Ovis aries: one gene and its partner. The protein of the gene in region 1 interacts with the protein of each later gene in a pairwise test. Links are inferred from orthologs where the notes say so. Each region holds a gene or a part of one and is shown on either strand. Other genes may lie near its edges.

Region 1 (3,748 bases):
GCACCTCACCTCCTCCTCTCACTTCCTCCTCAGCCACAGCTTCAGCAACCCGCTGAGGGCCCCTCCCAAGTGCGTGGTGGGGGGGGTTACCCCTTCCTCTCCAGGGCTCTTCCGGCCTGCCCCAGTAGCCCTGGGCCATGGGCTCCTCCCACCACCCCGGTGGGCTAGGTGGGTGCAGGCCTGGGTTCTTGTGCTGGGTGTGATGCAGCCAGGGCCTGCCAGAGGTAGAGAGGCCACGCTGCCTCCAGATGTGAGGTCACAGGCAAATAAAACACTCAATTCAGGGTTCCAGTGAGTATTACACTTTATTTAACGTGACTTCTTTTGTTAACGCTTTCGACAAGTCAAACAGTAAGTCATTACTGCGCTACTCAAAACACAACGACGAGACATTAAAAAATAGTAGTAATGGTGTAGCATGCGCCACGGGCAGGGGGACCAAAATGAGCTCGGCGTTCAGCGACAGGTGTCTGGGTATGGTCAGCCGCCCGCAGGCCACAGGGACCCTAGAGGTGAGAGCTCCTCCGTCAGTCTGAAGCCAACCCTTGCTATCTTTGAACCTGTTTCCTTTCCTGCACTTCGTGGATTTAATCTGCACTCTCTGGGGAGACCCAATGAGATATCAATGAGGTCACACCACCTTCTAGCCCGGGACAGAAATGGGAAGGACTATTGGGCCCTTGAAAGAGAAAAACAACTCCACACTACTTCCGGCCGCACATCCTCGGTGCAAGGGTGGGTAACTCCTCAAGGGCGGAACTAGAGTCGACCTCGCCCCGTGAAGCCCCGCCCCCAGTGTAGGCTCCGCCCCCGCAACCAGGTCAGCCCGAGCCCCGCCTCCCGAGCCGCCGCGGGCCCCGGGCCTGGCGTCCAGTGGAGGCGCTAGAGCGCAGGGGCGGCGGGCGACCGGGCGGGCCGGGGCGGGGCCGGGTGCGGCGGGGCGGGGCTGCCGGCAGAGGAGGCGGGGCGGCGGGCCGGGGCGGGCCCGGGCGGGCGGAAGGAGCACCAGGCCGGAAGGAGGCCGCGGGAGGGCGGGAGGCAGGATAGGGCCCGGAGGTGCTGGGCCAGAGCGGCGGCGCCGCCATGTCCGACAGCGAGAAGCTCAACCTGGACTCTATAATCGGACGCCTGCTGGAAGGTTGGCCGGGGAGGCGAGGGAGGTGGGCGCCCGCCGCGCCCTGGTCCCCTGCCCGGCCCGGAAGTGGCGCGCGGGTGGACCTGCCCCTCCCAGGGCCAGCTTTGACTGGGCGGGGACGGGCCGCGAGGTCCCGTGGCCACATCGTGCCCCCACCCCACCCCAGTCGTGGCGCGCTGGGAGGTCTGGGGTTGCTCCCCTTGCCAGAGCAGAACCGGGGTTGGCGGTGGCGGGGGTGGGCGCGCAAGGATTGGCCTGGGCTCTTGGCTGAGGGAGAAACCTGAGAAGCCTAGTCCCCCAGGAAGGGGTCCTGTGCTGAGGTTTTGGATGGCCTCTGCGCACAGCAGTCCCCTCGCGAGCGCCTTGAGGGCAGTTGGGGGTCCCAGGAGGCTCAGCAGCAACAGCTGCCCCTGGGCAAGGCGGGGCCGGGAGGCCCAGGAGCCCCTACCCAGAAGTGCCTTTGGGGCCACCAGTGACATTCACCCTCTTCTTGCCTGAGGAACCAGGGTCCTGACGCCTCTTTCCGCCCCCAGTGCAGGGCTCCAGGCCTGGAAAGAATGTACAGCTGACGGAGAACGAGATCCGTGGTCTGTGCCTCAAATCCCGGGAGATTTTCCTGAGCCAGCCCATTCTTCTGGAGCTGGAGGCACCCCTCAAGATCTGCGGTGAGCCCCCAGCCCAGGTCCCCGTGGCCTCCTGAAAGCGGCCTTGCCCCCCACCCCTCCCAAGTTTCTCCTCCCTTGGGCCCAACCCTGACCCTGGGTTCACGTTTAGGCTGCCCTAGTGCTGACCTGGTTCCCTGGGTCACAGGTGACATTCACGGCCAGTACTATGACCTTCTGCGGCTGTTTGAGTACGGCGGCTTCCCTCCAGAAAGTAACTACCTGTTCCTGGGGGACTACGTGGACAGGGGCAAGCAGTCTTTGGAGACCATCTGCCTGCTGCTGGCCTATAAGATCAAGTACCCGGAGAACTTCTTCCTGCTCCGTGGGAACCACGAGTGTGCCAGTATCAACCGCATCTACGGCTTCTATGATGAGTGTGAGTGGGCAGAGCATCTGGGCTGCCCTGGTCCTAAAGGGCTCTCCTTGCCATTCAGTGCGACCCTCGTGTTGACCTGGTGGCTGGGGTGTCAGCGTCTGACAAACACCTGCTAAGCTGAGTGCCGTGAAGGTAGCACCAGCCCATGCCACCCTCCCCGACCCTCCTAGAGCAGATCCTGGCACTCAGGAGGGACCTAGCCAGTGGCTGCTGGCTGAAGGGCTGCCAGGATTCTAAGGCAGGGCCTCACCTGCTGACACTCCCCTCCAGCGCATCCGATACTTAAGCACTTAGGATGCCTGTTGGGACTGGACTCTGTTAGACAGAAGCCAAGATGAACCAGACCCTGTCTCGACCTGGCCCTGCTCTTGTGCTGGGGGTGGATGCCAACCTTGAGGTCGTGCCAGAAGTGGAACTCTGGGGTTCCCGTGGACTTGGCTGCTTTAGAATTCTGTCTGGGAGGCAGTGGGGTAGTAGGGGTAGGGGGCGGGGGTTCGGTTTCCTTTTTTGCCTTCCATTCTCTCCTCCTAGCTGTGTCTGAACAACACACAATGTGTCCTGGAAGGCCTGGAGACCTGGGCTGAGGGTGGAGCAGAGGCCCTCTGGTGAGCTGTCTCCTTCCCCCTGGGCAGGCAAGAGACGCTACAACATCAAACTGTGGAAGACCTTCACTGATTGCTTCAACTGCCTGCCCATCGCTGCCATCGTGGACGAGAAGATCTTCTGTTGCCATGGAGGTGAGCACAGCTCTGGGCATGTGAATTCTTGAGCAGGATGAGCCTCCCAGGGTGAGCACCCCTGGGGACCTTGGGACAGAAGCGTCGGCTGGAAGATGTGTTCCCAGTCGCCAGGAACAGCTCTCCCTGGAGTCCTGGTATGGGTAGTACTTCTTCCATGACGTGCCCCCGCACTGCAGCATTAGGCTGCACCCACTGTTGTGTCATGGCCTCGCCTTCTTGCATGGAGTTTGCTTGTCCCCTTTCTCCAGGGCTTCCCTAGTGGCTCAGATGGTAAAGAATCTGCCTGCAATGCGGGAGACCCAGGTTTGATCCCTGGGTTGGGACGATCCCCTGAAGAAAGGAATGGCTACTCGCTCCAGCTTTCTTGCCTGGACAGTCCATGGGGTTGCAAAGAGTCGGACACGACTGAGCGAAAACACTTTCTCCAGGGAGCTCTGTGCTCCTTGAAGGGACAGGGACTTGGAAGAGGCAGAAGGTGATGAGTTCTGCCTTTGTAGGCTCCCAGGAATCCTGGAGAGGTGGGGGGCAGAGGCTGATTGGCAAAGGCTGCCTGGAGGAGGTGACCTGCCCCCTGTGCCCTCCAGGCCTGTCCCCAGACCTACAGTCCATGGAGCAGATCCGGCGCATCATGCGGCCCACAGATGTGCCTGACCAGGGCCTGCTCTGTGACCTGCTGTGGTCTGACCCTGACAAGGACGTGCAGGGCTGGGGCGAGAATGACCGCGGCGTCTCCTTTACCTTTGGAGCTGAGGTGGTGGCCAAGTTCCTGCACAAGCATGACCTGGACCTCATCTGCCGGGCACACCAGGTGGGCTGGCAGCCCCCATCTGGG
Region 2 (3,748 bases), on another chromosome or scaffold:
AACCACGAGGATTATGAGGCAGGGCTTTGGCTGAGCCAGCACTGCTGTGAACACATCCAGGGACTCCTCCCCGGGCACAGCGTGAGCATTCCCCGGCTCCCTGAAACTCGAAGTGCGGAGCTTCCTGATCCCAGTAGAAAGTAGAAGCACAACAGGTGACTGTCTCGTTTCTTGACCTTTGCCTTCCTTTCCTTTTGCACATAGAGATCAGCAGACAGCCATGGATACTTTAACCCAGCACTTCCACATTCCAGCTATTTGTTTACTTAGGTGTTTATTGTCTTGCCTTATACGTCCAACAAATATTCCCTGGACATGGTCTGTGTGTCCTCAAGGGATCAGCACTGCAGAGAGCTGGCATTCAAGATGGACTTGAGGCGTCTGGAGAACTGGGGAGGCCCCCCTGAAGCCAGTTGGTAGCGCCCCATCTGATAAGATTCAAGTCAGTCCGTCTCATGCACACACTGGACTATGAGTGCATTCTTTGGAAAAGCCCAGCATTTTCCCAGCTCCCAAGCTTCTGCTCATTATTACTTCTACCTGGAAAATAATTCTTCTCTCGCCTTTCTGCAGTAGGATGGTCTCTCCTCACCTGCTGGCTGGGCCTTGTCTCTTGGTGGGAAGAGGCGGGCATCCAGGCCAGGCAGTACTCTTGTAGAGAATGCCTCCTGGAGCCAGGCCTCCCACTGGTGCCAGGCACCGGCCGCTGACACGTGCACTGTTCCTGTCCTCGGGGAGCTCACAGTCACAGGAACAATACAGCCTGGCAGCCGGGATAGCAGTGGGGCCAGGGCCACGGCAGGGCACTAGGAGATGACAGTCATTTCTCCTGGGGTTGGGAGAGGCCTCCTTAGATGACTGTATTCTTCAGGAGAGTCTCCACCAGGGAAAGGGAGCGTGCCAGGTGGCAAAGAAAGGACAGGACGAGCACTCTTGTCAAGGGGAACAGCTTGAGCTCAGGAGCTGAATTAGCGGGTGCGAGGGGAGACAGTATTCTATTCTTGTCGAACTGAAATAAAAAATCCCATAGTTCCTCCGTGGCTGAATAGGTCAACCTAAGAAGAGTCTAAAACGCCTATTACAAGTAAAAAAGGCTGAAGACAAAAGAGGCCTATTTTTACACGTTTTTAAAATACGGAGAAAAAAATTCAGGACGGATTCTGGATGCTTTTCATTGTCTTCTTATACTTACCTTTAAAAAAAAAATTTTTTTTTTTAAAATAATTGCTGGCATCACCTGCTGCCCATGCACGTCTGTGTCTGCAGGGGGCGCACCGGCGGCCACCGTCCCTCCTCCAGGGCGGTGGGCGGGGCCTCCAGGGCCAGTGTGGAACTGACGACTGGCGGGACGGGCTGTCTATCACGGCGTCCCGCCCCCCGCCCTACGTCACATGACGCAGCCCATCATGGCGGTGGGAGCGCGGCCGCCGGGGCCCGCGGCTCCGCAGAGCGGCTGCCGTTGCTGCTGCTGAGAGGCGGCGGCGCGGGCAGGCGGACGGGCGGGAAGGATGGTGTTTCCGAGGTCGGAGTGGTGGGTGCGGACCAGGAGCCGGGCTGAGGTGTGGCTGAAGCGACGCGTGCCTGAGAGCACCCGGCGCGGGTGCCGCTGAGGCAGCGAAGGGAGGCAGGACCGACCGAGGGACAGACCGACGGACAGGAGGGAGGGCGACCCGAGAGCCGGCCCCCGGGGCCGCGCGGCGGGCGAGATGCCGGGGCCGCCGCCGCCGCCGCCGCTGCTGCTGCTGCTGCTGCTCCTGGCCGTGGGCCACGCCGGGGCCGCTCCACTTCCGCAAACAGGTGCAGGTGAGCGGGCCCGGGGCGGGGGGCAGCCGGGGAGGAGTCTGCGGGCTCGGCCCGGCCTCGGCGCCGGGGAAGCGGAGGGCCTGCCCGGGGCGGGAGGCCCGGCGGAGCCCGTGCTGAGGCGAGGTTCTGCCGCAGGGGCGTGAGCTGGGGGCGGGCTGCCTCTCCAGGGCCGAAGCGGGGGCGAGGCGCTGCGGATGGGGCTCCGGCGGAGGCTGCTGGCCGGGCGGCAGCCCCCAACCCCTCCCCGGGGTAGGCTGCGGTCCCGGCTCTGGACCTGTTGCCCGAAGGTCCTCAGCCTATATCGCTTCCCGGCAGTTCAGCTTCCTTCCCCAGATGTCACCTGCCTCCTGTGCTTTTTTTCCCCCTCACATCTTATAATAAGAACCGTTTCTTAGCCCTAATCGTACTTTTAAATACAAATGAGTTTGGAGAGCTTCGCAGAGTTTCCTTCGCTCCCTGCAACTCTTTCCGAAGTTGTCAATTGATTTCAAAACGCTGTGCTTTTTATTCGAATTGGATCTCTGGGGATGAGAAGGAAGCAGCTCTATAAATATCTTTATTTTAGGAAGCCAGTGATTAGAGTAGCAGCCTTTGAATAACTATTGACAAAATGGCCCAGGGGGTGATTGAAGTTTCTATTTTAGCTATGTCAGTGTGTGATTTTCTTTTTATTTTTCTCCCATCGTTTTCGTTTGTGGTTTATTTTCCCCGATAAAACTTCAGTCCAGGAACGCACCTCAAGTTGGATAATTTTTTTTTTTTTTAAGGAAAAAAATAATCTAGGCTAATTTGCTGTTATCTGCTGCTGCCGATCTTTGAATTGAGAGGAGACTGAAATTTCACAGAATCATGGGATTTTAGAGATAGAAGAGGCCTTAAAGAAAATTTAGTCCAATTTTTACCGTTTTGCAGTTGAAGATAGTGAGGCTCTGGGGGTCCAATGACCTACCCAAGGTGACACAGCTAAATTGTAGGTGGAGCCACAAGTAAAACCCAGGTCTTAGATTCCCCTAGTTGTGTGATTTTTCTCCTTTACCATATCAAGTCTCTTAGCTGTTTAGAATACTCTTGAGGTCAAGAGTTATTTTAGAATGATGTTAATTGGGTACAGAAAGTGGAAGGTGCTGTCTCTAGAAAAGACATATTTTTCAAGCACATCTACAATGGAAGCTAAATATAATTGTTTACAGAGACACACCAGGTTATGTCATTGAGTGCCCTTTAGTGGAGTATTAACTGTTACCATTGTAACATACAGTGTATCACTAAATTTCAGCCACTGCCTTAAATCAGATATTTTTGAGGTGATCGCTGTTTTCTGATCTAATAGATAAGAAGAGTGAGCATTATGAGGAGTGTGTAGGCAGCCCAGGTAAGAGTCCCAGAAAGTACCTGGGAAGTTATAAAAGGCTATAGGGAGGAGTGTCGATGTTGATATGGACAGATATTCATGGTGAAATGGAAAATTGGCTGCAGGGTAGGATAGTGGATAAAGGATATGGATGCAGACGGGATTCAGGAAGTGTCCAGATGACTTTGCAGTTCATCAAACTTTTACATATTTTGGAAAACATTCTGTGTAGGAACCTTTGGAAGTGTGTCTGCCTATAAATCTCTTAACATGTATTTTATTCCCTTCTTTTAAAATTTTATGGAGGTACAAGTAAAAAAATTGATGTTTTTGTTGGAGACAGAGCAATCGGGAAAATTAATCTGTAAGTAGAAATGTCAAATCTTGGCATTAAATAAAACATAAAGAGCTATTTGGTGACATATACCAGCTCTTGTAGATTCTCCCTTCGTGTTCGTTGCTTGGAGGGTCTTATGGTGAGACTTGCGGCATATGGTGACAAGTACCTGCCAGGGTTAAATTCTTGGGAAGGATGCACAATCTCACATAGATCTGGCAGTTTGTATTTCCGTTCAAAAGAGATTTTTAATACTG

What was found.
Region 2: the proteins of PPP1CA (region 1) and LMTK2 interact in a two-hybrid assay, tested with the Homo sapiens proteins (2 studies listed by BioGRID and IntAct, with this or other methods). The link is inferred for Ovis aries from reciprocal best matches to the Homo sapiens genes PPP1CA and LMTK2.

What each region holds. Positions count from the first base shown.
Region 1 is NC_056074.1:41,699,940-41,703,687, reverse strand, and holds the start of PPP1CA (serine/threonine-protein phosphatase PP1-alpha catalytic subunit), read left to right. Parts: upstream 1-1,033; 5' UTR 1,034-1,083; coding exon 1,084-1,138; intron 1,139-1,668; coding exon 1,669-1,800; intron 1,801-1,945; coding exon 1,946-2,176; intron 2,177-2,808; coding exon 2,809-2,913; intron 2,914-3,500; coding exon 3,501-3,724; intron 3,725-3,748. UniProt on the Homo sapiens protein: Protein phosphatase that associates with over 200 regulatory proteins to form highly specific holoenzymes which dephosphorylate hundreds of biological targets.
Region 2 is NC_056077.1:38,303,780-38,307,527, reverse strand, and holds the start of LMTK2 (serine/threonine-protein kinase LMTK2), read left to right. Parts: upstream 1-1,386; 5' UTR 1,387-1,706; coding exon 1,707-1,803; intron 1,804-3,748. UniProt on the Homo sapiens protein: Phosphorylates PPP1C, phosphorylase b and CFTR.